Arabidopsis thaliana: one gene and its partners. The protein of the gene in region 1 interacts with the protein of each later gene in a pairwise test. Each region holds a gene or a part of one and is shown on either strand. Other genes may lie near its edges. The genes, in order: AT1G15280, AT5G02530 and MAGO.

The links.
Region 2: the proteins of AT1G15280 (region 1) and AT5G02530 interact in a two-hybrid assay, tested with the Arabidopsis thaliana proteins (one study listed by BioGRID).
Region 3: the proteins of AT1G15280 (region 1) and MAGO interact in a two-hybrid assay, tested with the Arabidopsis thaliana proteins (one study listed by BioGRID).

What each region holds. Positions count from the first base shown.
Region 1 is NC_003070.9:5,248,442-5,260,473, reverse strand, and holds AT1G15280 (CASC3/Barentsz eIF4AIII binding protein), read right to left. Parts: upstream 8,190-12,032; 5' UTR 8,082-8,189; intron 7,955-8,081; 5' UTR 7,937-7,954; coding exon 7,539-7,936; intron 7,187-7,538; coding exon 7,087-7,186; intron 6,929-7,086; coding exon 6,723-6,928; intron 6,644-6,722; coding exon 5,949-6,643; intron 5,741-5,948; coding exon 5,638-5,740; intron 5,293-5,637; coding exon 5,182-5,292; intron 5,005-5,181; coding exon 4,949-5,004; intron 4,635-4,948; coding exon 4,574-4,634; intron 4,288-4,573; coding exon 4,260-4,287; 3' UTR 4,142-4,259; intron 4,056-4,141; 3' UTR 3,611-4,055; downstream 1-3,610. Other genes in the region: AT1G15290 (Tetratricopeptide repeat (TPR)-like superfamily protein), read left to right, coding at 12-116, 264-397, 584-767, 845-976, 1,109-1,221, 1,303-1,384, 1,690-3,147; AT1G15270 (Translation machinery associated TMA7), read left to right, coding at 8,454-8,469, 8,574-8,629, 8,983-9,024, 9,561-9,641; AT1G15260 (LOW protein: ATP-dependent RNA helicase-like protein), read right to left, coding at 10,104-10,640; AT1G15250 (Zinc-binding ribosomal protein family protein), read left to right, coding at 11,093-11,095, 11,170-11,305, 11,412-11,513, 11,603-11,649; AT1G15240 (phox (PX) domain-containing protein), read right to left, coding at 11,870-12,007.
Region 2 is NC_003076.8:561,313-570,417, forward strand, and holds AT5G02530 (RNA-binding (RRM/RBD/RNP motifs) family protein), read right to left. Parts: upstream 4,614-9,105; 5' UTR 4,465-4,613; coding exon 4,276-4,464; intron 4,144-4,275; coding exon 3,958-4,143; intron 3,867-3,957; coding exon 3,798-3,866; intron 3,714-3,797; coding exon 3,475-3,713; exon of another isoform or gene 3,216-3,474; coding exon 3,020-3,215; 3' UTR 2,773-3,019; downstream 1-2,772. Other genes in the region: AT5G02520 (dentin sialophosphoprotein-like protein), read left to right, coding at 13-66, 157-245, 330-474, 589-706, 798-1,945, 2,037-2,118, 2,205-2,263, 2,336-2,393 and 1 more; AT5G02540 (NAD(P)-binding Rossmann-fold superfamily protein), read left to right, coding at 7,297-7,414, 7,532-7,763, 8,268-8,347, 8,444-8,597, 8,675-8,753, 8,881-8,965, 9,039-9,085. UniProt on the Arabidopsis thaliana protein: Export adapter involved in nuclear export of spliced and unspliced mRNA.
Region 3 is NC_003070.9:400,250-409,049, reverse strand, and holds MAGO (mago nashi family protein), read left to right. Parts: upstream 1-4,593; 5' UTR 4,594-4,648; coding exon 4,649-4,864; intron 4,865-5,102; coding exon 5,103-5,279; intron 5,280-5,523; coding exon 5,524-5,583; 3' UTR 5,584-5,950; downstream 5,951-8,800. Other genes in the region: AT1G02150 (Tetratricopeptide repeat (TPR)-like superfamily protein), read right to left, coding at 1-271; ALG12 (homolog of asparagine-linked glycosylation 12), read right to left, coding at 565-642, 721-814, 912-977, 1,229-1,328, 1,500-1,582, 1,661-1,729, 1,903-1,970, 2,061-2,147 and 12 more; RA-5 (RAS 5), read left to right, coding at 7,262-7,275, 7,383-7,455, 7,542-7,589, 7,680-7,727, 7,815-7,886, 7,964-8,119, 8,222-8,325, 8,604-8,700. UniProt on the Arabidopsis thaliana protein: Core component of the splicing-dependent multiprotein exon junction complex (EJC) deposited at splice junctions on mRNAs.

The DNA of each region.
Region 1 (12,032 bases):
GCATTTCCTAGGCATTAGTCAAGATGATTGCTGTCTGTGGGCCTTATCATAGAAATACTGCATGTGCGTACAGTCTTCTCGCAGTTGTACTATACCACACTGGCGATTTTAACCAGGTATCATCATCTTTTATCTTCTTCCCAAATGGAAACTTTGATTTCAAGTAACAAATAGAGAGTTTGATGTTCTCGTTCTAGGCACTGTATATAAATAAATTGATGAGAGGTACCGTCATCTCTGATTTTTTATCCTCTCTTGATCAGGCAACAATATATCAGCAGAAGGCTCTAGATATAAATGAGAGAGAACTTGGTCTCGACCATCCCGACACTATGAAAAGCTATGGGGATCTTTCTGTATTTTACTATCGTCTTCAACATTTTGAATTGGCACTAAAGTAAGTTATACATGATGATCTCTTATAGTTATATAGTCATTAAAGATGGAACCTTACTACTTTGCTTTTCCATTACCTTTGTCTTGTTGCCTTGGAATGGCTTATGGTCCAACCTTTTCCTCTGATTGGCTCCTTTTAAATATATCTGCCTTCTTTCTAACCATTTTTATTTGTTATCTGTTATAGATATGTGAACCGGGCGTTGTTTCTTCTTCACTTCACTTGTGGGCTATCTCACCCAAATACTGCTGCCACATATATCAATGTGGCTATGATGGAAAAAGAAGTAGGGAATGATCATCTAGCTCTAAGGTACCTGCATGAAGCTCTAAAGAGCAATAAAAGATTGCTAGGAGCTGACCATATTCAGGTTCCTCCCTTATCTATCTTGCCTCAATTTGCGCGCATTCTTAAACTAATCATGCTTTCTGTGTTTTACTTTGCCAGACTGCGGCAAGCTATCATGCAATAGCAGTGGCTCTCTCTTTCATGGAAGCACATTCATTGAGTGTGCAACATGAACAAACTACACTTCAGATACTTACTGCAAAACTTGGAGCAGATGACCTTCGTACACAGGTGATTGATTTGCTTCTGGTTCATTCGCATACAAATCTCAGACGAATATTAATTTCTTACTAGCAAAGTAACAAAGTGAACGTTTTGAACTCTGAGACATACATGTTTGTTTTCTCCATTTGTCTCTCACAGGATGCTGCTGCATGGCTCGAATATTTTGAATCAAGAGCCATAGAGCAGCAGGAAGCAGGCCGAAATGGAATCCCAAAGCCTGATGCTTCCATCGCGAGCAAAGGCCACCTTAGGTACTAAAATGGAAACTCCTAGAACACATAAAGGATATGGTAATTATTTCATTGGCACCAAAGTCCGACCTTCTCTTGCAGTGTATCAGATCTCCTGGACTATATAAGTTCTGATCCAGACACTAAGGGAAATGTTGCTCACAGGAAACATCGGCGTGCCAGGGTAATTCCTAAACTCTAATATCCTTGTTTTCCTCAGGTCACTCATTTTGGATTTTGTTGATCAAATAATAACCTGAATAAAAAACCTGTCAATTGTGTAGAACTCTTCTTGAAAAGTTTGAACTATGCTGATTGGTATTCTAGATGTATGTCTAAATTGGAATATTGATCTAAATTTTAAAGGCATTCCATGCACTAGAAGTCCAAAGAAAAAACATGTGAGATGTTGAAACGAAAAGAATGAGATAGATATATCACTCCAGGATTTCCTGTCAAAGGTTTGTGACATTACTTCTGTTTCGACAGATATTACAGGTCAATGATAAGGTTGCATCAGCTGATGATGACGCCCATAGAGTTGCTTCACAGATTGACATTGTTACATGGAACAATGTGGCAGAAGCGGATGTCACTAAGAGTAGGAGCGAAGTAAATGATCCTGATACAGTTGTTGATAAGACCAATATTGAGACAGGTGATATTGTAGTACACAGGCTAAATGTAGACAGGCAAACTGTGGAAGAGTCAACTTTAGACGAGGGCTGGCAAGAGGCATACTCAAAGGGGAGATCCGGAAATGGTGCTGGAAGGAAATCCAGACAAAGGCAGCCTGATCTTATGAAAAAGAGAATGTTGCTTAATAAACATCACAACAGGAATCAGGATGTTCAGCAACAGAATATATATTCTCCCTTGCAGAAAACAAGCAAAGGACCCTCCCTCTCTAAGTCATCACCCCGTAGGGCTCTAAAGAATGCAGAGATAGATGTCAGTACAAATACAACTAAACCACAGTTAAAGGCTTCTGGTGCTGCTGCTGTGACCAGTACTACTTTGGCCTCAAAGTCTCTCTCATACAAAGAGGTTGCTTTGGCACCACCAGGTACAGTTCTGAAGCCAATGTTAGAAAAATTAGAACTGAATTTGGAGAGAACTGAAACTCAGATATACAGGACTTCAAGTGCGTCATCTGGAGAAGAAAGCAAGTCCGACACTGTAATGTTGGATTTGCCAATCGAAGGCACAGAGCTTCACTGTGAGAAACAAGAATCACAAGAAAGTGCTGAGTCAGTGGAAAACTTAACGTCAGAGTCTGAAGGGGATCTGGGGTCCTATCGTGGGAAAAAAACTTCTGATATAAGCCGGACAAAGCTATCAGCCTCCGCAGAGCCTTACAACCCTGGAGGTTTCTTGGTTATTGATCTGCAAAGCTCAGCAGCAACAATAGGCAGCTACCCAATTATGGTTGCAGACCCTATTTCCTGGGCTGTAGTTTCATGTGGGATTCACTCACCACCATATTATAGTGCTATTCACTCAAATGGAGTTGGGACGCCAAGAAGCATGAATCCAGATGCACCAGAGTTTGTTCCGAGAAGATCCTTGCAGAATAGCTCTCAACATGCAGGTGAAGATGCAAGTGTATCCGTCGACTCCAGCAGTTGCCTAAAGGCTGAGAAAGATGCAGTTGATTTGAAGAAGCGAGAGCTTGCCAGCTTCATAGTAAAGTCATCACAGAAAGAGGTTCCGGCTGCTCTTAGCAAAACGAGCCCCGAAGCTGAGTCAGGAGGTACCTCCGAAAAGGATAGTGCAGTAACCGAGATAGTTTATAGTAGAGAAGAGGAGAATGGAGCGAATGCAAATGAGACAAATGGAGGTGAAGGGTTTGTGATTGTGGCAAAGAAAAGGAGAAGGAAGAACAAGGTGCGACTTACAAATGTTGCGGCTGGGCTGTACCATCAACCGTCGTCAGTTTGTGCATGATCTGATAAGTGGGTTTCATCAGGTTAACAAAATAAAGCTTCTTGTGAAGCAGAGAATATTCTCATCTCATTTGGTTTATTGGCTTTTTTTTATTGGGATAGGTAGTTGGTTGCTTCTATTCTTATGTTGCACTCTAGGTGCAGCTTGACCCCGTTGTGTTGTAAATTTTTCGTCGCTAGTTGTCTTGTTTCTGAGATTTTGGAAGTTTTTTCTGGTCTATTATAGTCCAGAAATCTACAGCAATTTTAGGTGGACAATCTGAATCTGATACCAGTTTTTTCAAAACCAATTGGGAAGGCCACTGCGCCTATTGATTGTGTGGTCGGTTCAAAATTATAACTTGCCCAAAGCGAAGACAGCTTACTGGCGCTTAATCCTACATTCCTACTGCACCTCAGCTATCTAGAACCACTGAAATTTGAGTGGTTCAGATGTTCAGCAGCATCGGAACTGTGAGATCAAAAGATCATCATCGAAGGCTCGAAAGCATTCCCATTGAGCAAAGAAAAAAAAAGCAGCATTCAATTTGGTCTGAAAGCTAAGAATTTCCGAGTTTCTGAAGCAATTATTGTTATAGCAAGCTCCTATTCATGTGATTCCATAGGAAGAAAACAAATGAAATAACATTGCGACAAATATTTACATGCTCAAAAGAGAGACTTTAGATTAGATTCTCGGAAAAAAAAAGACACACAAAACAGGATGCTGACCAAAGTTTAGGACAACTAGTCTCCTGAAAATAGCTTAAAATGGTAAAATACCAAACAAGCAGATGACGGAAAACACGAAACACAAATACATTACATCTCCCATAGCTTTATATGAGCCACTACGTCCCTTCTCCATTCTATTTGCTACTAGTAGTCGTTACTATTATCTTTTGTTTTTTTTTCCCTTCCCTTATAAAACTGCAACAAGAACAACAAGCACAATCAAACATCCACTTTCTATTACCCTGTTACTATCCCCGGTAACTAAAATTTGAATCACTTACCTAAGATTTTCAGGAACAATTGCGGCCTTAAAAGTGTTCTGTAACAAAGCTTGGAGAAGCAACATAGCCCTGCGCCAAGGTGTCCCTAAAGTCCCTTCTTAAATTCTCACAAATGTTTTCACTTGCTAAAGGTCATCTCCGAGTACCTGTATATACAGCAATGACAACTCCAGCGGCTATTCGGATCAAATTGCACAAAACTTACTCTACATGAATCCTATATGATATTCAACCTTAAGTCTATGAATGTAGTTATTTCCAAGTTAAATTCGTAGACATAATGCATCATGATTCCCTAATCCTAAATGGTTCCATTACTTCCATATCAACCCATGATCAATTTGATTCCCTAATCCTAAATGGTTCCATTACTTCCATATCAACCAATGATCAATTTGACAGAGTAGGTTCGAGTTAACTTCAAAAGCTCACCTACGAGGCTGCTTGCTTGGATTGTTGCTTTGCCGTTCTGAAACCCCATTCTCTGCAACCTCTACACAGATGGAAAGTAGCTTAACTTCAGATATAATGATCCCACAATCAAATCTCATTTCGTGATTTTAATAGGAAAGACAAATTTTGAAAAAGTGCTTATTGAAACAGCATTCCCTAAACATCATCTCCCATATCTCATTTCCAGATGCTTATGTACTAATTATCTATCACATCCAACCACATAGTCTTTCATTATGATTTCTTTCTTTTAATGCAAATTCATTCCCTAATAAGCGTAATACTATACACAAACACCTGATGTGTAACCATTAGAATTATAACAGAAAGAGCAAGTTTTGCAATACGACTAACCAGGACTTTCCATGGGTTTGACCAGGTCATTAAGGGTATTTGTGCTACTGTCTTTGCTGCAAAAATAGTAACTGGATTAAGCAAACTAAAAATCCATGCTTTGCAAATATAAATATATGCCAAGCATATGTAGTAGGTTTAAATAAGAGAAAAACACAATGCAAATTTGCGTCAGTTAACATTGTTTTTGCATTAAAAACATTTAAGAGAACGAAGGCAATTAATCTCTAAACCTGGAGAATCCCGCAGAGGAAGGTAACCCTGGGTTGTGTGCTTGGTGAGCCGCATATGGTGGTGGACTGTATGAAGCCCCTAAAGCTCCTGGACCAGCTAAAACTGGCATCCTGCCAATCATATAAAGAGATCACAGCAGCAAGCAGGGGAAAGAATAAAATCAGGAACTAGATATAGTCATATAGATGAAGAGCTCATAGCATTCAACCAACACAGTATCCAGAATGAAAGTAAACATTCTAATGATACAACACCATCACAGGTTTTGTTTTTCCAGTAGGTAGACCCGCACAAAGGTGATTAAAGGGACAACATATAAAAACACAAATAAGACGGAAATTCAGCAACCAATACGCACGATATCTAATTCTTAATTCTTTGAAATGCTTACAACCAAGAACTTCTGAAAACTAGCATCCACAAAGTTCATCGAGAAGGGGAAGGAGCTAGCTTACCATGTCATCTCCGGATTTCTAACACCATCTTCAGACTGGACATATCCTGGATAAGCCATTCCAAAAGTCGGAACCCCACCATGCTGACCACCAAATTGCATAACTGCATTTCAATTTGAATTTAATTAGAAAGTAATGCAATAATCTCCCCAAGCTGGTACAACAGGACTCCGAAAATAGTATATATGAACAACCAGGCCTAGGTGGCTCGGCGTCAATAGCTTTCAATTTCACCACCATGCATGATTTGAAACTGAAAATTCTTTCAACTCATCCATTTTACAAAGAAAAGCGTCATCCAAAAAACTTACCAGGCAGAAAAGTAGGGAAATTAGAATTGTCAGCAGATGTCAAACTTTCTGGCCGCCCCATCATTTGGGATCCACTATACATAAAAGAGCTGCTTCCACCAGGCCTGAGAGTCCCTTTTCCTTTAGCAATCAATGCAGCTGTTTCCGATGAAGATTCTATTTCATCAGGAGGATACCGATTTCTTGATAAGCTAGTTTTCTGGGGAGAGGAAGACAATGATCTAACAACAGCAGAGTGCTGATCAAAACCCTGGCCGGAAGGTCTTTGGCCAGTGCCTTTTGAATCTCCATTGAGTTGCATTGGTGATGAAAATCTGTCACCTTGACTATGAGATTGCGGGTAAAACGTGTTCCCAGCAGCAGGTGCACCTCTACCTTGACTAGTGGACTGAAGAGTCTTGGCAGTCCAAACTGGTGAATAACCGGATTTTGTATTCCTATACTTCTTCCCAGAAGGCGTGACACTTTCATTTGTGTGGAGTCTTTCCATACTAACTTGTATACCATGTACCACATTACTGGACGGCGCTGAAGGATAAAATGGAGGAGAAGCGGAACTCAAACTTGACACAGCTACATTCTTTTTGGCATGGGCACCTTGATTCTCAGTTTTAGCAGGGGCAGTTGGTGAACGCCGTGAATCGAGGTGTGGCATTTTCTCACGAGAGTTTTGAGACCCATTAGAATTTCGTAACCTACAAATTCAGTACACAAGTACATTATAATAGAGAAAACCCTTCACTCAACTAGGGGATTTTTTTTTTAAGAACTCACTGTTTGCTTTGCTCAGAATGTGCTTGATTTTCATTCCTCAGGGGAGTGTCGGATTTCCTGGGTCCTCTCCCTCGTGAGACAGCTTTAGGAACATAAATTTGCTGTCCACTACTGGTTAATGTGTTAGAACTGCTCCCTCTAGCGTATCCACGCCCTTGTCCCCTACCCCGACCATGACCTCTGAATCGGCCTCTAGACATCCTCTGCTGTGTATCAAATGCAGTTTAAGAAAGAAAGGAAAAAGATAAGAGACGGAAAGTGCATAAATACAACAAAGCTAACATATGTCACATGTACATGTTATAGCAATTAAGAGATAAGAGGAATCTAAAATTATTCTAAAAACCATAGACAGAAGCTTTACATCAGAATGTTTTTCCCCAGTATTCATCTCTTCAAATTTGTCATGTCCCCATTTTCTTTCCTCTCCAGAGCCCCACTGTCTTCTCCCACCACGCATTCGCCTACGAAAGCAAGATAAAGAACTATATCAATCGACAGATAGAAGGTAGAGAGGAAGAGCTATATTCAGAAAAAATCATATTTCCCAATAGTATGAACTAAGCAATCCCCAATGCAGCTACTCAAACCCCTCATGCTTGATAAAATTGCAAGATAATAAGAGGTCAATAACTCCACCTTAGAGTCAATTATCTCTCCTCTAAATACAATTTCATCCTAAGTTAATACCTACTTTGAAAAATCCAACCCTTGCATAATAAGGTTGAGTTGATACTTGATAGCTTATAGTGACAGATTTTGAAGCAGAATTGATTGAGAAAGCTGTGAAAAACAAACACAGTAAAGAGAGTAAACCTGTTTCCGCCAGCAGACATTTCCTGAAACCTATCATCATGCATATAAAAAGCTCCACCAGTGGGAACAGCAGCTTGTAACTTCTCCTTTTCATTTTCTTCCTCTCCATTCATATCACCAGCCTCCTTCACCACACCACTCTTATCATTATCGATTCCTCCACCACTTTCCTCCTCATCATCCTCATAACTATCCTCCCCATCTTCGTCATTATCATACTTCACAGTACCAACTTCTTCATCAGATAGGTCAGAATCAACCACAGCCCTCTGATTTTTCACATCTCTAACAGCATCATCATCATCACTATCGTCATCACTCGCTTCTCTCCTCCTCGTCGCCAAGGAGCGGTTCAGCTCCTCGGGATCACTCTCATATTCCGCTTCAGATGTCGCCATGAAATTCTCTCTAGAAACCTGAAAAAAAGGAGAGTGGTACTCGTAAATCCAAAACCTAGATGAAGAAGAAATTCAATTGAGAAATCGAAAGAGTCGCTCAAGCGCTCCGTACTAATCGACTATGTAGAAGAAAGCTCGCGCATACCTATAAACCCTATCTGAGCTCGAGAGGCGTTCTTCAGCGATTTTGGGGGTTTCCAATGAAATCGAATGGAGCCAGACCTTTTGTTAACTGTTAATTAATCGATTTTATTTTGTTATTTCGCGCATTAAATATAACGACTGTGACCTAGGTTGACCCAAATAAAGGTATTTAACGGGCCCAAAAAGAAATTTGTAGGCCTTTTAATGGGCCATACACTTTCAGAGCCCATTTAATAGGTTGCGTTGTTACTACGAACTCATTATAAATATGAACCGTAGCCCCAATCAGAGAGATTCGATACCGTCTGCAACTCTCAGCTACTTTTTCCCCAATTTTGAGCTCAACATCGAACCCTAGCTCAACGAACCAATCATGTCTTCCAAGCAAGGTACGTTGCTGTTATACAGAGATTTGAGTTGGTGATTCGTTCACCGAATAAAGTGATTAGAGACATCGTTTACGATCTGCTCATCTTATTTTGGTTTTAAACAGGAGGAAAGGCGAAACCTTTGAAGCAGCCTAAAGCTGATAAGAAGGAATACGACGAGGTGACTCTACTGTTTCTTTTTTCTTTTAAGAGTTGGATTTTCTGTTGATTTGCCTTCAGCTAAATCGGCTTATATTGTTAGCTTTAGACCTCGAATCAAACGATGCTTTTGCTCTGGATCTGGTTTTGATTGTCCAACTAACTTGAATTCTTAAAATTTGTTAACATTCAGTGACTCATAAATCATTAATTTTGCTCGGATTCAATGATTTATACGCAAGTTCGAATTTTGATCCAGTGTTTTTAAGGGCACAGTCTTGACTTCTTCACTTGATTTTGTTTGCATACTATTTGTGTATTAATGACTCTTAGACATTCTCTAATTGCTGAAATGTTGATTTGGTATCAATGCAGACTGACTTAGCTAACATTCAGAAGAAGAAAGATGAGGAAAAGGTGAGTTCCCACTTTGATGCTCTGACTTGTTTTCTCTTTTTGTTCATATGAAGTTTTGTGATTGGAAAAATGCATCTAGTTAAACTTATATGTTTGGGCTCCTCTTTCAATGGAAAGCTATAAAATACGAATCAAAGATTGTATCTTCACAAGAGAGCTTCTGTTTAGATACATAGGTTTGTAAAGGTTTTGTAAAGGTTGTGCATTAATATGTTCCACTTTGTCAGTTTGGTCTACTAATCAAGCTGACTCTAATTATGACTTTATAGCTGGTGACTACAACTAGATGGGTCATTTCTATTAATTATTTGTTAGTTTAGGGGTATTCATTACAGATTCTTTTGAGATGATATGGACTAGTTTCTTCTTACTTTGATGAAATAGTGACCATTTGCCCATGTTAGGATGTTTAGTCTACTTTTTTTCCACCCAATTGTGTGAAAGACTCATTAGCCTTTCTTTCGCATGAGAAGTACAGTGATCATTTGTTACCGAAAGCCTGACCTGTTTTGTTTTGAATGAAAATGATAAAACAGGCCCTTAAAGAGCTTAGAGCCAAGGCATCGCAGAAGGGATCCTTTGGAGGTTCTGGACTTAAGAAGAGTGGCAAGAAATGATCCGTTTTATCCATGAAGTGTGTTTTAAAATGCAAATTTATCAAGTGAAAAAAACAGATAATCCTGTGTTGATGTAACTTTTTATCATAATTCGAGAAGAGTAACTTCGCTTCTCCATACATATGTTTGCTTTCTCCATTTTTTCATGAAAAAGAAAAGTGGTATCTACCCTAAAATCATTTTGTCAAGAATCGAGTAGTAGGGTGTCACATCTCTATCTTCAGATATAGTATTATAAACTGTAAGTTGTCATAACTTGAAGTGGAAAATATGTTGCATTGATAGTAGTTGAGAATAGGAGCGTAACTTGACTCTACAAGATGAGGTAGAAACTGAGGGTGGTGACAGGTGATTTTACCAAAGCGGTGTGTGTAATGGTTAACACTGTTCTTAAGAAGTGCATACTCTATAGATGAAAGAACTACAGATAGCCCGTGAAAGCAAAGCTGATCCAGAGGAACTTTAAAGCCTGAAGGAGCCTGCCTTTCTCCTTGAACCGTTGATCTTAGCAGAGGTACGAGGATCAGAGAACTCGTAATACATGTCTGTGAAGAAATTGTCAACAATGTCAAGATACACAGGACTTCTGATGCTTGAATAGCATCGAAGCGCTTCCCTTACATCCAATGCGTGATCCACGTCTCTCAGATCCACCATATTGAGATCTTTCATCTTTTGCGCCAACGCGTCACCTCTTTTCTTTGCATCCTCGAATGGCTCAGCGACTTTCTTCGGTTTCTTTTTATGTTGGTTGTTGAGACTCTTCTGGTGTGTTGTATCTGCCACAGCCGTGTCACAACAGATAACGGTGTAGCTTTCTTTGGTTTGGGTTTGGGAATCTTCTGGACAGCGGCGGCTGCAGGAGTAAGGGCTCAAGAGAGGAGTGTCGTTAGGTAAGTTTTTGTAATCACTAGAGCAGATAGTGGACTTGATGCTCCCAAGAGTCTTCTTTAAGAAACGACCAACTCTCTGAATTGATTTTGATGTAGGTTTCATCATCTTTCTTGCTGCTCATTTTTTTGAGAAGATAACCATATTTATGTCACTAGGGATCTCAAAAGGAAACCTAACATTGATTTAGTGGCATGTAGTAGTTGAAGAAGCAAGCTGATAGTGTCAGACTTTAAGAAGGTGTCATCTTGTTGATTGTGTTGTCCACTTTTATAGGTAAGCAATCGTCATCACATTGATAAGCAGTGTTCAAAATTGGTCCCCTACTTATCATTGCCACCACCACTCACTACTCATATTATATATACTGTATGCCAGTTGACTCGAGGTAATATCAGAACCAGGCCCATGAAGCCCATTAAGAAGCCCATATTTTTGGCGGTAACCAATGAAGATCCATTTTGGGTAGGAAAAACCCTAAAGGACGCTACACAGTCGTCTTCTCGGAGCCGCAAAGATTTCTGTAGAGCAAACTTTGATCATCCCCTGCATCTGCGGCAATGGTAATCTATTGGCATTTTTTTTCCATGTAAGCTCATGTGTGACTTATGTGTAACCGGTGCTTTGGAAATGACAGGGTAAAGGAACAGGGAGCTTTGGTAAGAGGAGGAACAAGTCACACACGCTCTGTGTGAGATGTGGTCGCCGGAGCTTTCACATCCAGAAGAGTCGTTGCTCGGCATGTGCTTATCCAGCTGCCAGAAAGAGGACATGTATGTACTCTCTCTCTATTTCTGTCTCTGTCTTGGAATTTTGGGTCTGATCATGGAGAATTGGAGATATATGAAAGAGTCCTGGAATTTATGATTTTGTGTGCAGATAACTGGAGTGTGAAGGCAATAAGAAGAAAGACAACAGGAACTGGTAGGATGAGGTATCTCCGTAATGTCCCTCGAAGGTTCAAGACTTGCTTTAGAGAAGGTAAAGCTACATTGCACCCTTTGCTTCACTTAAATATTTGATATAATCTAAGACTTGCTCAATCTGATCGATGGAATTCTGTGAATCAGGTACGCAAGCCACCCCAAGAAACAAAGCTGCAGCTTCGTCTTCCTAGGCATTGTTCAGTTTGCGTTTTGCCATCTCTTTCTTGCTATGTAGCTTTTTTTTTTAATTCGTTTGTTTATCTTTTTTGCTCTTGTACTTCCTTTACTGTGCAATCCTATTTCTGATAGTGTGATCACTCATCAATGAAATGCATCCGTGCTATTACTGTTTAAAGAATTCTAGCAAAACTCCACGTAATATGGAAGATGATTACAATGAAAATCCAAGTATCAGTTCGGTGGTGTATATTGACCAAAGAGGTGTTTTTCGTAGTGCAATTTTTTGAAAGCTTGCTCCATTTCCGGAAACGCTGATAGTAGCAACAACTCCAAAATGTCAAACGCCAATTGCTTCAAACACACTGATGACTGAAACAAGAATAATTTTAACAAT
Region 2 (9,105 bases), on another chromosome or scaffold:
GTATCCAGCTCGATGACGGAACCAAATCTCGACGAAGATGGTTCCAAGTCGTCTTTCCAGAAAACGGTGAGTGAGCTTCTTACTTCATCTCCTCGTATTTGATTCAATCAGTGTTCTAAATCCGCCTTTTTGTTCATCTGGGTTTTTCGAATAAAGGTGGTGCTGAGAGATTGGTGGTTGATAAAATGCCCAAAGGAATTCGAAGGGAAACAATTTGGTGTTGCTGGATTCGAAGAGTCCGTCGAGTAAGAGTGCTTTGGACTTTTCAGGTTTCTTTTTTTTTTATGAAACGATTTAGTTTTTGAATTCTTCGAATTTTGCCTTAATAGGACAAGAGCAATGCGTGTGTTTACATCTTCACCAATCACCAAAGCTTTGGATGTTTTCACACTCTTAGCATCTGATGGAATCTATATCACTCTCAGAGGTTTTCTTAACAAAGAACGCGTTCTTAAAAATGGATTTAACCCTGAGGTAATCTAAAGATTGCTTAACTTGTTGGAACTTGATCTATCTAAGAACTAAGGAAGAAGAACTGACTTTGATTTGTTCTTTCTCTTTTGTTCTGTGGTCTGGTCTTGGGAATAGATTTCTCGTGAATTCATCTTCGGGTTTCCTCCTTGTTGGGAACGAGTTTGTAACAGTTGCTTTGAAGGAGACTCTTTTGGCACTGATGTTAATACCGTCCCTTCGACTATCGAGAAAGGTTAGGTCTTGAAGCAATGTGTTTGTGTGTGTGTGTTTTTTTCTGATGCATCTATGTTTTATTGATATGTCCTTGTTTTATGATTTCTTAGCAGCTTGTCCTCCCATTTTATCACCTTGTAAGTACTCTAACAGGAATCTTAAGGATAATCCAGCTGAGAGCAGAGAGAAAAGCAATGTGACTGAGACTGATATTGCAGAGATTAATGATAAAGGTGGTTCTGGAGCAAGAGATATAAAAACTGCAAGGAGAAGGTCTCTTCATCTGCAAATAAAAAGGATACTTGAATCGAGTAAAGTCCGGAAGACTGCTAATGATGGAGATCATGGTAGTGAATTTTTGAATACGGCTAAGCGCGGTGATGTAGAAAGAGATGGATGTGAGGTTATCAATAATGAAGACAGTGAATGGAAACTCGATGAAAGTGAAGTCCAGAATCTTTGTAATGATGGAGATAATGGTAGTGAAGGTTTCATTAAGGCTAAGAGCAGTGATGTAGAAAAAGATAAGAGCGAAGCTATCGATAATGATGTGATATCTCCAGCGGTTGGAAGTGGTATTAAGCATACCGGTGCAGATAATGTTGATAAAGTGACAAGTGCAAGTGCTACTGGAGAATCACTTACTTCGGAACAGCAAAATGGTTTACTTGTAACAACAGCATCTCCACATTCCCTGCTTAAAGACTTAGCCAAGAGTAGCAAACCTGAAAAGAAAGGAATATCCAAGAAAAGTGGCAAGATCCTCAGAAGTGACGACAATGTAGTAGATCCCATGAATTACTCTGGGACGAAAGTCAAAAGTGCGGAAAACAAAAGGAAAATCGATGCGAGTAAACTCCAGAGTCCGACTAGTAATGTTGCAGAACATAGTAAGGAAGGTTTAAATAATGCTAAGAGCAATGACGTAGAAAAAGATGTATGTGTGGCTATCAATAATGAAGTGATATCACCAGTGAAGGGATTTGGTAAAAGGCTTTCTGGTACAGATGTTGAAAGATTAACAAGTAAGAATGCTACTAAAGAATCACTGACGTCAGTACAGCGAAAAGGTAGAGTGAAGGTATCGAAGGCATTTCAAGATCCCCTGTCGAAAGGAAAATCAAAGAAAAGTGAGAAGACCCTTCAAAGTAACAGCAATGTTGTAGAGCCTATGAATCATTTCAGGTCTGAAGCTGAAGAAGCTGAAGAAAACTTGTCATGGGAAAAAATAAAGAGGAAAATCGACTTTGATGTGGAGGTAACCACTTCCCCTTATGCCACCACTTACATGGTTATCCTCTGATATTCCTGTTTGAGTGTTAATGCTCTTGTTGTTATGTAATTCAAAGGTAACACCGGAAAAAAAAGTGAAGCAGCAGAAGACCAATGCGGCGTCTACTGATTCATTGGGACAGAAACGGTCAAGATCAGGTTAATAGAGAGTAGAAAATCTTCACTTCCAAAGGGCTCTGTTGAAAGCATTAGTTAAAAAAAGAATTTTGTTTAATGTTTTGCAGGAAGGGTGCTTGTGTCATCACTAGAGTTTTGGCGTAACCAAATTCCTGTTTATGATATGGTTTGTGATTTGATTTCCTTAACACTAGACCAACCATGGGAACAGAGTCTTTAACATTGTCTGGGTTTGCAGGATCGGAACCTTATCCAAGTAAAGGATGGTAGTGAGACTAACTCCGCTCCATCTAAAGGTTAGTTCTTTAAAGCTGTTTTTTGATGAAAACGGCTTTCACTATATAATACAATATTTGTTGTTTTTTTCTTTCTTCTTCTTGATAGGAAAAGGATCGGATTCTCGAAAGCGAAGAAACTTGAAAATCAAATAAACTATTTCAAACTTTCGTAATTAATAAGTAGGTTTATTATGGTCTCTGACCCTGTAATCATAATTAATAAGTAGGTTTGTTATGGTCTCTGACCCTGTCTGTAATCATTTTGTTGGTCGTGAAACTCTCTTAATATTTTAGTATTACTAGCTTCCTTTATTTTTTTTACAAAGTAAATTCATAGTGGATCTCGTTTGCTTCAAGCTCAAAAGTTTGAAACGACAAAGTATACGTAGTAAGAGAGTAGATAGAATTGTGTTTTGAATTGATATTTTAGAAGAGTTTTGAGTTCCACGGTACACACAATGCTTGTTTCTCTGAACTCAACTGCAAAAAGCTAAGAAGCTCACCAAGAGAAGAAAAAACAAAAGCTAAAGCTCGAAAATGTCAGACCCATTGACATTCAATCTAAAGATCATACTAATACAAAAGCATATCGGCACTAAAGGAAGGAATACATGTAGACATGCAATAGGTTTAATCTCCCCTTTCTAACTTGTTTCCATTGCCTCTTTGTGGTACTTGTCCAATTCAGCATCAAGATCCTCTGCAGATACGTTTTCATCACGTCCTCTTCCACCACTGCCACGACCACCACGTCCTCTAGCTCCCCTGCCACCTCTGAAATTACCACCGCCAAAACCACCACCACGAGGACGCCCCATAAAACCGCCTCTTCCTCTGCCTCTGTGGCATAACAGGTTATCCAAAATATTTAATAGGAGTACAAGGTTCGTGTAATCTACCTATCAGGATATACTTGGCCTAACCAAAAAAGCATTTCGTCAATATACTAACTCAAGAACAAAACATAGGCCATCTTAACAGAAGAACAAAACATAAGTATTTCATCAAGATACTAACTGACTTAGCAATAGATTGATAGACCCTAGCAAATGATACTATGAAGTTTCCATATTGAACAAAGTGTGGAAACAAGACAAACCTGAAGTTTCCATTGAAGTTGCCATTGAAATTGCCATTAAAGTTCTCATTAAAGTTGCCAAGTATCCCATTAGTAGGAAAAGGAATCTGAGCTGTAGCAAGAATGGGAAGAGCTGGAGCAGAAAGATTAGTCCCAACAATCTCTATCTTCATCAGTTTTCCATCCAACTGAACATTGTTGTAACGCTTGACAGCTGCCAATGCATCCCCACGCCTCGAGAAAACAACTTCAGCAGTCCCCTGAAAGCATCATTAAGTTTAATCATGACAAGACGATTCAATAAACAAATCTCTGAAGCACAATAAAGCTTATCAAGTAAGTACCTTTGATCTTCCACTCCTATCATAGTGAATCCCATATCGCTTAAGATCACCAACCTCAGAGAAAAGCTCCTACAAGCAAAACCATCTCAAGATCAGAAACAAAACCACAATTTTTCTCATAAGTAAGACTGGAACTATAATAAACTTCTAAAGCACAAACCTTGATATCTTCGTTGGAGACACCATAGTCTAAGTTTGAAATGTAAAGCTTAGTTCCAGTCTCGATAGACGAGCCACCACCAACAACAGCAGTCTGATGATGCCCAAAAGCCGCCGCCACAGACGCATCAGTCGCGAAGACGTCGTTTTGCCACATCGCATCATGAGCTTGTTGTTGTTGAATCGGCTGTTTTATTCGTCAAAGAAGAAACGAAAACAGATCTCAGCTTTTTTTGATTTCACAAAAACCCTAAAAGGAATTCTCTGATTCTTGAAGGAAGAGAAGGTAAAGGGAGAGATATAAAATCAATGGGCTGACCCTTGAATACGGCGCCGTTCTGGCTCCTACGCGGTTAGCAAACCGACGAGACGGACCGGAATTAGAACCGGAACCACCGCGACCACCGGTGTTATTGCCACCTCCAATGCCTCCTCGGCCGCGAGATCCAGTAGGTTTTCGATTAGATTTGATGATATCATCAAGTGACATATCTAAGCCACCTGACATCTTCGCCGGATCTTTTCTCCGATATCGAGAAATGTAGCTAGGGTTTTGTTGCTCTGAGATTTCAAAGATGGAATTACGCACCGCGAGAGTGAGAGAGAGAGAAACAGATATTATCTTCTCGGAGAATTACGATAAACACCTCAGCTTTAATCAATATTGTTTTGTTGCCCTTAAACTCTTACGTTTTACTAAATAGACCCCTGAGTTCTTAATGGGCCTTTTGGACTCATAAAAATCCAGTGGCCCATCCTCATTGTCCACTTCAACTTATTATATTTTTTTCCCTCCGGCCATTGTCATAATCAAAGATGTGGACAAGTACATGTGAAGCACACGCATTGCCTGTATGGGCACAGTATGTGACTGTATCACAACGTACATACACATTCACGTATTAATATTAGTAAGTCAACCCTTTTTTTTCTTTGTTTATCTCAATTTGGAAAACAAATCTTGCCTTGCTATTTAACAAATTACTTGTACCATGAGTGTTAAAGACATCTTTATAACCTGACCAGAAGATTTTATGTAGAATTCTAGACGAATTATGAAATTTTTAATGGTTAAGTGGACTTTTTTATTATATGATATACAGATTTGTATTCAAATGATGACACATTAATTACTATACAAAATATTTAAATATGTTGATAAAAACAAAATGTGGTTAACAAAAAATTATTGATATCTTTGATCCATGGAATAATAACCGTTGCACAATAGTATTTTTTGAGCTGCCTTTTTTGGCAGTAATATAATATAAGGAAATAAATAGTCAATATCGTTAGACGTTATAGTCTCACATGGTCACATCACTTCCCCATACAAATGAGCCAATGAGCCGGATGTCATGTGCCAGTCGCCGCTAAAAACATGATAGATAGAGTAAATGCCTTCATTATTCTACTTACATAATTCGACTATCCTAATATATAGGTGCTAGATCTAGCAATATAATCTCTTCTGTTTCTTCTTTTTTTTTTTTTTTTTTTTACTGAAGCAGTTACAAATGTAGGTTGGTCCATTCTATTTAGATTTGTTTCGTTGCATGCCAAACAAAATAATGTTAACCGGTTATAGAGTACTAAACAAACAAAATAATCGCTAAATATAAGTTCAGCTTTGAAAAGAATATACTCTCAGCTACCACGACAAGTTTGTTCAACTATCAGTTTTACATCATAAAGCATTATAGGTTTTGATTGTTTAAATCACGAATTAGTATGTTGAAACAATAATAACAATAATAAATATGGCATTAATCTCGATAGTGGTGTGTGTGTGTACCTTTGTGTAAATCTACCACCTAACAATGTCATTATGAGGCTCTCTCAGCAATCAATTTTGCAAGGCAAAAAAAAGAAAGATCCAAATCTCGTAGTTGGATTCTCTGAACTTGGAAACGGGATGTGAAAGGAACATCGATATCTATGAGCACGGGCTATGAATTAATTTTATACATTCTGTATTGTTTCTTTATCCAAATAAGTATATATCTTTCTTTATCTGCCGGTCAAAAACTCTGTAAACGACCGATGAAGTATTCTTGAGTAGAGTTTTAATGATTTTCTTTAGTATAAGATTTATGCTCTTCAGTTGTTTAAAATTTGTACGAGACCTTGTTTAGTTATGTTAGGTTTTCTTCTTTATTTTCTATCAAGAACATCCAATGCAGGTTTGAATATGGATGACAAAGTCAAGTATTTTCGTCTCTACATGAAAGAAACAAACCCACACCACTTTGATTTTGTTGGTTTAGACTATAGTCATCGGTTTAGTTGCATAATAACCTCCCTAAGTTTTGGGGAAAAAATGAAACTAATTAGATGGTTAATTAAATGAAACTCGCCCCTAAATTAGGAGGGATTTGGGTAAGTGGTAACACATTCACTGGAAACATGTGAAGAAAGGAGGATGTCAAGTAGCTGAAAACTCAGTATAGTAACCAACGGCTTCTCACCAACCTTTCATTAATAATTTGGTCATCCCTATATTTTTATTCAACATTTTGTTTTTCAATAGCTTAGAGCACCTTAATACCTTTCAGTGTTTTTTTATAAAAAAAAACAAAAATTGGGATTAATCATCAATCCCCAAATGTAACGTTTACTTAGATTATGTTCATTTTTCTATACACACAAATCATATTCTTTTGTTTTAATCTTCGAAAAACGAGAGGACATTAAATACCCCTAAAAAAGGAGGGGACATTACTACCAACGTACATTAACATGTTTGATAGCAAACGATTTATTTTGTTCGTTTTGAAAAGGGGAAAGTAATGTGTAAATTATGTAAAGATTAATAAACTTTTATGGTATAGTAACATTTTCGAATAATAAGAGAGGGAAAACACTCGCCATTGTCGGCAATTTAGAACCAATATTAGAAGGGTTTTTTTAGAGAAAAAGGACTTAAAAGTTTAGAGACCTTAACAACAACTTATTTAGAAATAGACATGCTTAAGTTGACAACAGCGAGTTTATTTTCTATATCGAAGAAAAATACGAACTTTTTCTTAATTAGATTTCGAATGCATGCACTATCGAGAATCGACCGTCACAAGAAAAAACTAATATACATACTGTACATATCTATATTCAATATTGGTGGGGATGGGTTTAATGTGTATTTATAATTCATGGATAAATTCACACAATAAGGTCCATGAAACTAGAAGGTACCAAAAATAAGCATTAATGACTCTTTGCCACTTATATATATGATTCTCTCATAGTACCATTTTATTCTCCCAAACCTATCTTCTTCTTCCTCTCTTGTCTCTCTCGCTCTCTCTCTTCTACATTGTTTCTTGAGGTCAATCTATTAAAAATGGGATTATATTCACTAATCACAGGAAGAAGAGGACCAAGTGGATTTGGTTCAGCTTCAACAGCTGAAGAGGTTACTCAAGGGATTGATGCAACTAATCTCACTGCAATTATCACAGGTTCACATATGCATATGCATACATTTACAAAAAAATTACATCGCTACGTTTTTGAACATGTTTTAATTATTTATTGCTAACAAAACTTGGTATGTGATTTATTATTATTGTAATAAGGAGGGACAGGAGGAATAGGGATGGAGACAGCGAGAGTGCTGTCGAAGAGAGGTGCTCATGTGGTGATCGGTGCCCGAAACATGGGAGCTGCAGAAAACGCCAAAACAGAGATTCTCAGACAAAACGCAAACGCACGTGTCACTCTTCTTCAATTAGATCTCTCTTCCATCAAATCCATCAAAGCCTTTGTTCGTGAATTTCATGCCCTCCATCTTCCTCTCAATCTCCTCATGTACACATTCTCTCTTTCTCTCATTCAGTTTAAAGCGTTTGCACCGCCTTTTTTAGCGTTTGGATTATTGATTCTTATGACAATTACAGGCTTTGAATGGTTTCCACATTAACAACGTTAATTAACACTGTTTTGGTTACCATTCCTCTGTTATTGTGTAGTACTACTATTTACGTTAGTTAGGTAATAAACAACGACACCCAATAATTATTTATGCAGCTTTTTCTTTTTTGATGTTTAATGCTGTGACAATGACATTATTTTTTCGCTCTAAACATTTGACTTCTTTCTTCTTGTTTTGACAACATCAATGTTACTTTACATTTTCCAATGTGGTATCATTTATTACTACCAAATCTCTACACACGTATCACTAGATTTGTAGATGTGTGTAGCAAGAAAAATAAATGTTATCTGTTTTTATTTTATTTTTTTGGGTGAAAAAAAAAAGTGCATACTTTTAATTAATAATTATAACAATTGTACACAAAATGGATTTTGCAGAAACAATGCAGGAGTAATGTTCTGTCCATACCAACTCTCTGAAGATGGAATCGAATTGCAGTTTGCTACAAATCACATTGGTAAATCCTATATTTATAAAAAAGTTAAAGAAACTTGGTTTCAGAAATTAAACCTGAAAATATTGAAATTTTTAATTCTTGAATTATACTGTATAGGTCACTTTCTGTTGACAAACTTGCTCTTGGACACAATGAAGAACACAGCTAAAACCAGTGGTGTTGAAGGAAGAATTTTGAATGTATCATCTGTAGCTCATATCTATACTTACCAAGAAGGAATCCAATTCGACAGCATCAATGACATTTGCAGGTAAATTCTACAGTTTTTGACTTGTTTCAAAACTAAATAAATCTTGATCTTGTAACCATGTTTTTTCTTTCTCTCAGTTACTCGGATAAGCGAGCTTACGGACAATCGAAACTAGCCAATATATTGCATGCTAATGAGCTCTCCCGTCAGCTTCAGGTCGCCTTCACACACACTGACAAACACAAACACATATATGATATTTCAAAGTGTTAGTACTATCTCAAATTTATAAACACTTGAGAAAATAAAAACTCAAAATCTTTTTGGGGACATTGTTTGGTAGGAAGAAGGAGTAAACATAACAGCAAATTCAGTTCACCCTGGTCTTATTCTCACCAATCTCTTCCAACACACTGCTCTTTTAATGAGTAAGATTTCACATCATTTTCTTAGTTTCTCTGTTTCTCTTCAAATCATTCCTTTTAATTCCGTTTTTGGCAGGGTTCCTGAAGTTCTTCAGCTTCTACTTGTGGAAAAATATACCTCAGGTACTATACTAGTAGATAGA
Region 3 (8,800 bases), 4.8 Mb from region 1:
CCCACTGATTCAAGACGGAAGCAGCGCCAAGCTCTGGCTTCTCCATCAGCGAAATCTTCTTGTAGATGGCATTCCACTGGACAATCGGCCTTCTCTCGTAGTCCACCGTGCCGTAGCCATAAACCTGGGAGATGGAGCACACGATTGCTGCCGTCTTCTTCGAGAGAGCAGCTACGGAGACGACAGGAGATCTGCAGCGAAGGAGACGAGAGTAGGAGGCGGAAGAAGCCAGTGGAACATTGCGGTTCTGCACCGCCGCCTGAAGAAGCATCTCTCGTCGTTACTCGTTAGGTTTCGGATAAGTCGAAGCTAATGATTTTTTTTCCTAAACGAGAAGGGGGAAAAGACGGAGGGGTATATTGGTAAAACTAATTAAAAGGACCAATTGATTCAATTGTGACGCGTAACTCAAAGCCCAAAGGCCGATGATGCTTCTGGATGAATTTGTTGAATCCATTACAGTAAGTCAGTAACAAGCATCTCCGTTGTTACATTACATCATGTCCTCTCTGAGGAATGCTACATTACATCGACCCAAAACATTGTCTCTATTTGTAGGATTACCTAACATCCAGGCCATTTCTTATGAAAAGGATCTTCCTTCTTCATCTCCCGGTGCAAGTATACTTTGGCTTTTTTTACCTGCAATTCAACATTACATTACATTACATTCCATGCACCTATTTTGATGAAATACTAGCCCCACGCCCACCGATTTACCAAGACAATGGGAGGGAAACCTCGCCGCAGCTCAAGTCTCTCAAAGCCTTCTTCATAAAATAAGCACTTGTATCCATCTACAGAGGAATGCTCGCTGCACCAAGCATGACAACAGTGTTACATGTTGACCACCAGTGGTATCTTTTTTTATTTACTATGAATTGCTTTCTACTATATGATGAAATACTCACTTCACCAGGTACGTGAAATTTCGGTTTCGCAACTCCTCCACTACTATCTCTTCTTCTTTGGAATATCTGCATTGCACAACAAAATTTTATATCCTCCTAAATAGATAAACAGATACCTCTTCTATGTATTCAAAGGCAATGTAGAATGATCCCTTTTCCAACAAAGTGATATTCGTATCCAAGAAAATGAACATGAAAAACAAACAGATGCCTCATCTCGCACAAATGGGTGCTTCCGAGTGGCAACTTTTTTCCATGTACATTGATATTTCCTTTACTTTTACCAACCCTAAAACGAGGTAGTACAGCTAACATACCTCCACGGAAAATCATCTTCACAAAAGCGAGATATTCCATTCATCGCACCAAAAGTGTCTATGTGAACCCACTCTTCCCCAGCTACATTTGCAGGATGGCCTGAGAACCATGGAAGGCACCAAGTCAATTAATCATATTGTAGGCAAATTATCAACCAGAGGTAGATAGACACCACAAAACAAACGCTGACCAGCAGATGTTTCTTGTTTGATAGCCAAGTCAATGCTGCTGCATTAATAACAAACCCCAATAACAGAATAAGTCACTCACCAATCTGATGCAAGCGCTTTAAAGCATAGCCGCTAGGATAATTGTAGTAAGATGCCATGAATGTTACAACCGTGCACCCTGCACTATAGAACCAGGTTTAGTAGACTAGCAAATCTCTTTCCTTCTCTTACATAGCAAAGATAATTGTTTACTATTTCTACCTGATTGCAAAAAACGCTAGCATAACCATATTCACCAGTTTCCAAATCGTTTTCTTCCTATTATTGTAGCTGTACAACAAAATCGGATTATATTAAGAGGTCGGCCCGCATTGGTAGTAATTTAAAGTGGCATACAGAAATTATGTGTATCCAAACTCCAAAGAGCTCTTAAGATACAGAATCAAAGAACGTCCTAGCTATGATTGAAAGCTTAGCTAGCAAACATCTGATAGAACTCATACATTCTGCTAGCAGCAACTGCAGCAGACAAGTTGAACATTGGCACTGAACTAATGATAAATCGGAGTTCCTTCATAAATCAAGAAAGATAGGTAAGCCGATGTCAGAAAATGGTTAAGAAACGTTGATGGCTACTGAGATAAGTAATCCATCTGAATACCTTGTGTGGAAGTTTAGAGTATAGTATAACGAACGATAAAACTGGAACTATAAAGAATGGAACCCTTCTGTCAACTAAAGTACCAAGCTGCATAAAAAGAAACCAAATAAGAAAATTTGTAGAGATACAATTAGCGATCCTAACTAGAAAGGAACAAGACAAACACTATCACAGATGTTAGGAAGTCTGGTATTTACCAATGAAAGTGGATAAGCTACAAGTAAAGACCGTGGGAGTGCTGAGGTGAAGTACCAATGTATGGAATGTGTCTAGTTTAGCAACTAATTTTCAAGGACAACACATCATTTCATACAAATGCAAGTGCCACAATATTAAACTTTGAATTGGAAATTCCAAACGGTTATCATTGTACAGAACGCAATCCTTTAATCAGGCAGTAGAAAAATGCTAGAACATTATGCATCATATGAAAAATAAATCAATTGAGGAAACAATTTTTTTGAAGGATACACCCCAATCAGAACTCCGGTTTAGAATGGAGTTAAACCAGAAAACTTCAAATTCTGGCCAGACAAACTTCTTCCACATGATAGAGTCAACGAAAATGGTAAGACCTGTGCTAAGGATTATTCCATGACCACAGAAAATAGACTCGGGAATTAGTGTCTGAAGGGAAAAAGCAAAATAGATCACAGAAAGAAGAGGAATTTTAACCAACCTACGGCCAACAGAGCGGTTCCAACACAATACTTAAGTGCTTTCCAGAAGGAGATCGATTTGGTCTGTCATTGACAAACATAAAGCACCCGCATCAGATGGAACGGTAAAGTATACGGCCAATTATACATATACAGAAGTTGAGAACCCAAACTATTTAATATTCGTCACCAGCTCACCAATAAAAGTTCAAGACCAATAGGCCCAAGCAGTAACATCGTATCGCATCTGAAGATTACAGTGGCAAAAATCTGATTATCGGATAACAGAGATGTCAGCAAACCCCATAGTTCTGGATAGCATGACCGATTTTCTAAATCTATAATCGAGAAAATATGTCACCACAAAGATAATACATACCAGGAAACTCAAAGCTGGATAAAAATTTCCCTTTAACCAATTACCATATGCCAGATTGACTGCAAAATCAAAATTTAAAAACATAAGCAGAACCTAGTAAGGCCTACGCTAGATGGGTCATGGGAAAGATTGCTAGGACATCTGAAGGACCACTACTAGTAGAGTAAGATGAATAGAAGTAATTACCTAATCCCAAAGCTAGAATATTAGGAAGAGGACGAGTGCAGTAGAAAAGAAAATGAAACTGAAGACTGGTGAAAAGTACAAAGAAAGTTTCCACTTGATTTCCAAACTTTTTTTTTATCTGACAAACCAGTAGATTTTGGTCAGTGGCAGTATATAGGAGAAAAACAGCCAACAAGATGCATGTAAGAGATCCCAATTCCAAGGACATGGGAAGGGACAAAGAATCAGATAGGGGAGTCAGAAGTGTGGTATGGAAAGAAGCACTAAAGGAACTTCATACCTGAATCCGGAAAAATCTTAGTGTGGACAATATGATGCAGCCCAACACCAAACGAGCTGCAAGACAAAATGATAAAACTATGATGTGAATTGGTTTTGTCTGTGTTTAGGGGAAAATAGTTAGCGATTCATTAAGGAATTATATAGGGAGGGAGAAACAGAAGAGAAACCTGCAACAAGGCTATAAACCTTGGGGAAGCCAAGGCAGCTGATAATTGATACAACAGGTGATGCAAAAACAGAGACTATGAAGGCTCCTGCAAGAACAAATCAGAGTGGAATAAAAAAAAAACCATCCACTAATGTATAATGATAAAAAAAAAACCATCAACAGGTGATGCAAAAACAGAGAGCGAAATTCAACAGCCCTCCTTACCAATAAAAGTTCGAGGGACAACACCGGGGAACTCCAAATGATCATACTGATAGGAAAAAAATAAAAAGACAGAAGTCGGTAAAAATTGACATCACTCTAGAGATAAAAAAAAAAAGAGTAAAGCTTCAGAGAAGAAGTAAAAAGAGAGGTCACTCACAGAGTCCAAATGATGGCGATGGTAAAGAATGTCGTGCATTGACTTGAGACGAGTGAAACGGTTTCAGTAAAACGGAGAAAGAGTGTGACTCTAAATACTTTGAAAACCTACCTGAACGTTGAAGCTCTCTTCCACCTTAGTATATGGTGCCATGACCACATAGATTGCAGCTACAGATCCCAGAATCAAATCATATCCTGCTCCCACCAATCGAAAGTTTCAGTTATATAAAAAAAGAAAAAGAGATCATCTGGCCGCCTAAGAAGACGAAACGAAGAAATTACCATAGGATTGAAGAAACTTGGCCATTTTCGAATCCGTCGGCATCGTCTCTGTATCGGGGAATCGGAAATCAGGCAGCCCGGATACACACACAATTTCGATGGAAACAGAAAAACTAAAACTGGGCCTTAACTTTTCGGGTTACAAATGGGTTCTGGCCCAATATGTAAGCCCATTACCTTTTTTCTTTTGCGGGGACGGACTTAAAGAAGGGCAAAGGACACGGAGAGGTAATCTCGATCTCGAGAAAGAAAGAAAAAAAGAGAAGGCATGGCCGCGGAAGAAGCGACGGAGTTCTACCTGAGATACTATGTCGGTCACAAAGGGAAATTTGGACACGAGTTCCTGGAGTTCGAGTTTAGAGAGGACGGTAAGCTCCGTTACGCCAATAACTCTAACTACAAGAACGATACTATTATCCGCAAGGAGGTATTTCTCACCCCCGCCGTGCTCAAGGAATGCAAGCGTATCGTCTCCGAGAGCGAGGTCCTTTTTCTCTCTCTCTTCCGATTTGCTTCTCTCTTGTTAATTGTCCGCGTTTTGGTCAATCGACGCTATAATAGCCAATTAGGGTTTTAGTGATTTTGCTTCGATTTTTGTCGATCTAGGGCATCTTTCCTGACTAGTGTTGTAGGTTTAGAACCCTCTTCGTTGTTAATGCTATTATCTAGGAATAATGGATGATTTTGTACAACCTGACATGTGATTATTTGTCTGCGGGTAGATTCTGAAAGAAGACGATAACAATTGGCCGGAACCTGACCGTGTTGGAAAGCAAGAGCTCGAGATCGTCTTGGGTAATGAGCATATCTCATTCGCTACATCTAAGATTGGATCTCTTGTTGATTGCCAGAGCAGTAATGATCCTGAAGGACTTCGCATCTTCTACTATCTTGTTCAGGTCTCCTCTCTTTTTCTTCCACCCCTTGCCTTACCATCTTTTCTTTTACCTAATCCCTTAACTCTATTGGACTCGATTATATATTTAGGACTCTGCCTTTTAACGTATTCACTGTCTCAAACTTTAACATTTAGGGTTTGGCTGTTAACACTCATCCCTTACATGGTTCTGTAGTTTTTTTTTTTTTAGTTTCTGTATTTATTTGTGCTCTAACATATTCCTTTTGAAACTTTCATGGTTGCAGGACTTGAAATGTCTTGTTTTTTCGCTCATCTCTCTGCACTTCAAAATCAAGCCTATCTAGAGAAGAAAATCAGTTTGTGACATGTCAAGACGCGATGAATTTGTTGGGAACATGAGGACTTTGTGACTGAAGTTTGGTTGTTTTTATGTCTCTGGTTCTCTGTTTTTTTTTTTTGTTGGATTTGGGTGAAAGTGGGTATGTAAGATGTTCTACCTCAACTTTTGGTCCTTTTTTGTGTCAACATCCCATGTGAAGAACCTTTCATGAACCACAACCTATCTTCTAAAAACCATATACTTGCTGTTTTCTTATCACAAATCATTCACTCTCCCTAATGTACATCTACATATGATGCATGTTTCTTTTCCCTCAAGCCAATTTAAACTAAGGAATGTGATCTATCTAAAATACAAAGTATCAAAAACTAGCTGGATTAGTCGATAATTAGGATTGTTTCCATTCTAAAAAAACGCCCTCGGACCATTCAAACTGCTCCTCCAAAACCCGTAAATCTGGTTTTGCATTGAAGATATCAAGAGTAGCTTTTTATGAATCGGGAAGAACAATGGAGGATTCATTTGTCAGTGTCAGGCGGATTACTCACAGCCTAGACAGAGGACGCACCTGCCATTCATCCTCAGGTTAAGCACGCACTAGTCTCCTTTACCTTGTTGTAGTGTGTTGCAGAGAGTCACATGCATATTTCATCTTGTGGCAGGATCAGGTGCATGGTTAGGGCGGGGACTGGCTTGTGTTTGTGCACAGAAAAGGGATCACCACTCTCGTTATTCCTTTGATCTCACCCCTGCTCAGGCACCAACTAGCATCAGCTAGTTAGTTAGTTACCTTTTAAGATGGTCGGGGAAACATTAGTAGCTGGTTAGTTAGTTAGTTACAGCAGCTTTGGGTTAAGAGAGATAAACGCGAAGCCATATATATTGACAATTGGATGGTGTATAATTTATTGTTAGAAAACGAGTCCGCATTTGATATTCGATATTGCATTGCGTTCAAGGTGATGGATGATAAGTGGCTCACAATGCGGGATTCCTACATGGATTTTTTTTTTTTTTTTTTTACATGGATTTTAACGTAGCCTTTCTCCTCCATATAGCTTTGACTTTAAGAGATCAACTCAGTCTTCAGAGACTGAGTGTAAGTAAATTTGTGTTTGTTTGGCAGACGGTGCTGAAATCGACAAGGCATCAACTGGAGAGAGAGCTTCTACTGGAAGATGGGACCCGAGTCCAAGCCTTACCTTGTTTTAACCTCCTCCTCCAGAAAGAGTTAGAGTATATCTCCCAACTTAAAATATAGATGTCAATCAAAAAGCAAGCAACAATTGGAAAAATGAATCAAGAAGACTAGTATAGATCCAACATCTGGGAACCACAAAACAATCTCCAATTGCTGAGTGGATCGTAGGAAGGGCCAATTTACAACCCTAAACTTGTGAAAGAAGAATGAATTTTAATCTTGGCGTTATTGGGCCTCCGCTCCTCTGGACTCTGTCGGGCTTGATCCATTTTCGTTGCTGAGTGGATCGTAGGAACCCTAAACTTGTGAAAGAAGAATGAATTTTAATCTTTTGCATTATTGGGCCTTCGCTCATATTATTATTCAAGGCCCAAACACTGAATCTCCTCCTCTTGTAAATCGCGAGAGAAAATCAGAAAAGAGAGAGAGAGATCTCTGGCTCTGTATCGCTCGCTGCTCTTCCTCCCACAGATCGAAAACCATGAATCCTGAGTAGTAAGTTCCTTTCTCCATCGACACATACTTGGGTCGAAATTACCTCTGTTATATATTTGATTCTCCGGGTGGTTCCTAGGGTTTAATTAGCGTTTTGGGATTTGCAGCGACTATCTTTTCAAGCTCCTGCTTATCGGGGATTCTGGCGTAGGCAAGTCTTGTCTTCTTTTGAGATTCTCTGTAAGTTTTTTTTTTTGTCTTTTTCTTTCTCAGAGATCAAACACTGTAGCTTTCTACATTTGTTCATGTTTGTTGTTCTGCTGCAGGATGATTCTTATGTAGAAAGTTACATTAGCACTATTGGAGTCGATTTTGTAAGTTGATGTTTTCTTTTTTTTCTTCTTGCTACTGATGACGATGCTTTGATCTGACCTTTTTTTTTTTCTTATATATCTCTTGTTCAGAAAATTAGGACTGTGGAACAAGATGGCAAAACAATTAAGCTCCAAATTGTATGTAACTATTTTCACACTTGTCAAGTTAATAGCTCTACGTCTCTTTCCCTTAATTCATATTTTTCCCTCTTCACTTATTTTCAGTGGGACACTGCTGGTCAAGAACGGTTCAGGACTATTACTAGCAGTTACTACCGTGGGGCACATGGAATTATTGTAAGCAACATCTTATCTAGGTTCTTTCTGTTGACTCCTTTAAGTTTATGTCCTAATTTAGTTCTTGCACCTGGTAGATTGTCTACGATGTCACAGATGAAGAAAGCTTCAATAATGTCAAGCAATGGTTGAGTGAAATTGATCGTTATGCTAGTGACAATGTCAACAAACTCCTTGTTGGAAACAAGTCTGATCTTACTGAAAACAGAGCCATTCCTTATGAAACTGCCAAGGTATATATATGCCACTTGAACCAATTCTTTCTTCTCAAGTTTTGAAAATCATCAAACTCTAAGGCTATTATTACTTTCCTGATTACTTCGAAACATTCATAGGCTTTTGCCGATGAAATCGGGATTCCTTTTATGGAGACTAGTGCAAAAGATGCTACAAACGTAGAACAGGCTTTCATGGCAATGTCTGCATCCATCAAAGAGAGGTATTTATCTTACATCGTTCTTTTTAAGTAACTGCGGTTAATATACTCATCATACCTGATGGAACTTTTGCGAAGCCATAATCTCATTTTTGTAAGTGTTTATATAGATCTCAGAAAGTGTCACTGTGTAAGTGACCTTGGAGTGAAATAAATAAATGACTGATGTTGACCTTGCAGTGTTCAAATTGAAAATTCAAGTAGTTGTACTTAATCAATTTGCAGAGAGTGTGCGTTCGTGTGATATATGAGAGAAATTGATCTCTGTGGTTTGGATGCAGAATGGCTAGCCAACCAGCTGGGAATAATGCAAGACCACCGACCGTGCAGATCAGAGGACAGCCTGTGGCACAGAAGAACGGCTGCTGCTCAACTTGATTGACGTGACCAGCCTAGCAATATCCTTTCCAATCTTAGAACACGTGTTCCTTCTTTTGACTAGGCTCCAATTCACTACTACTTGGTTTTTACACAACAT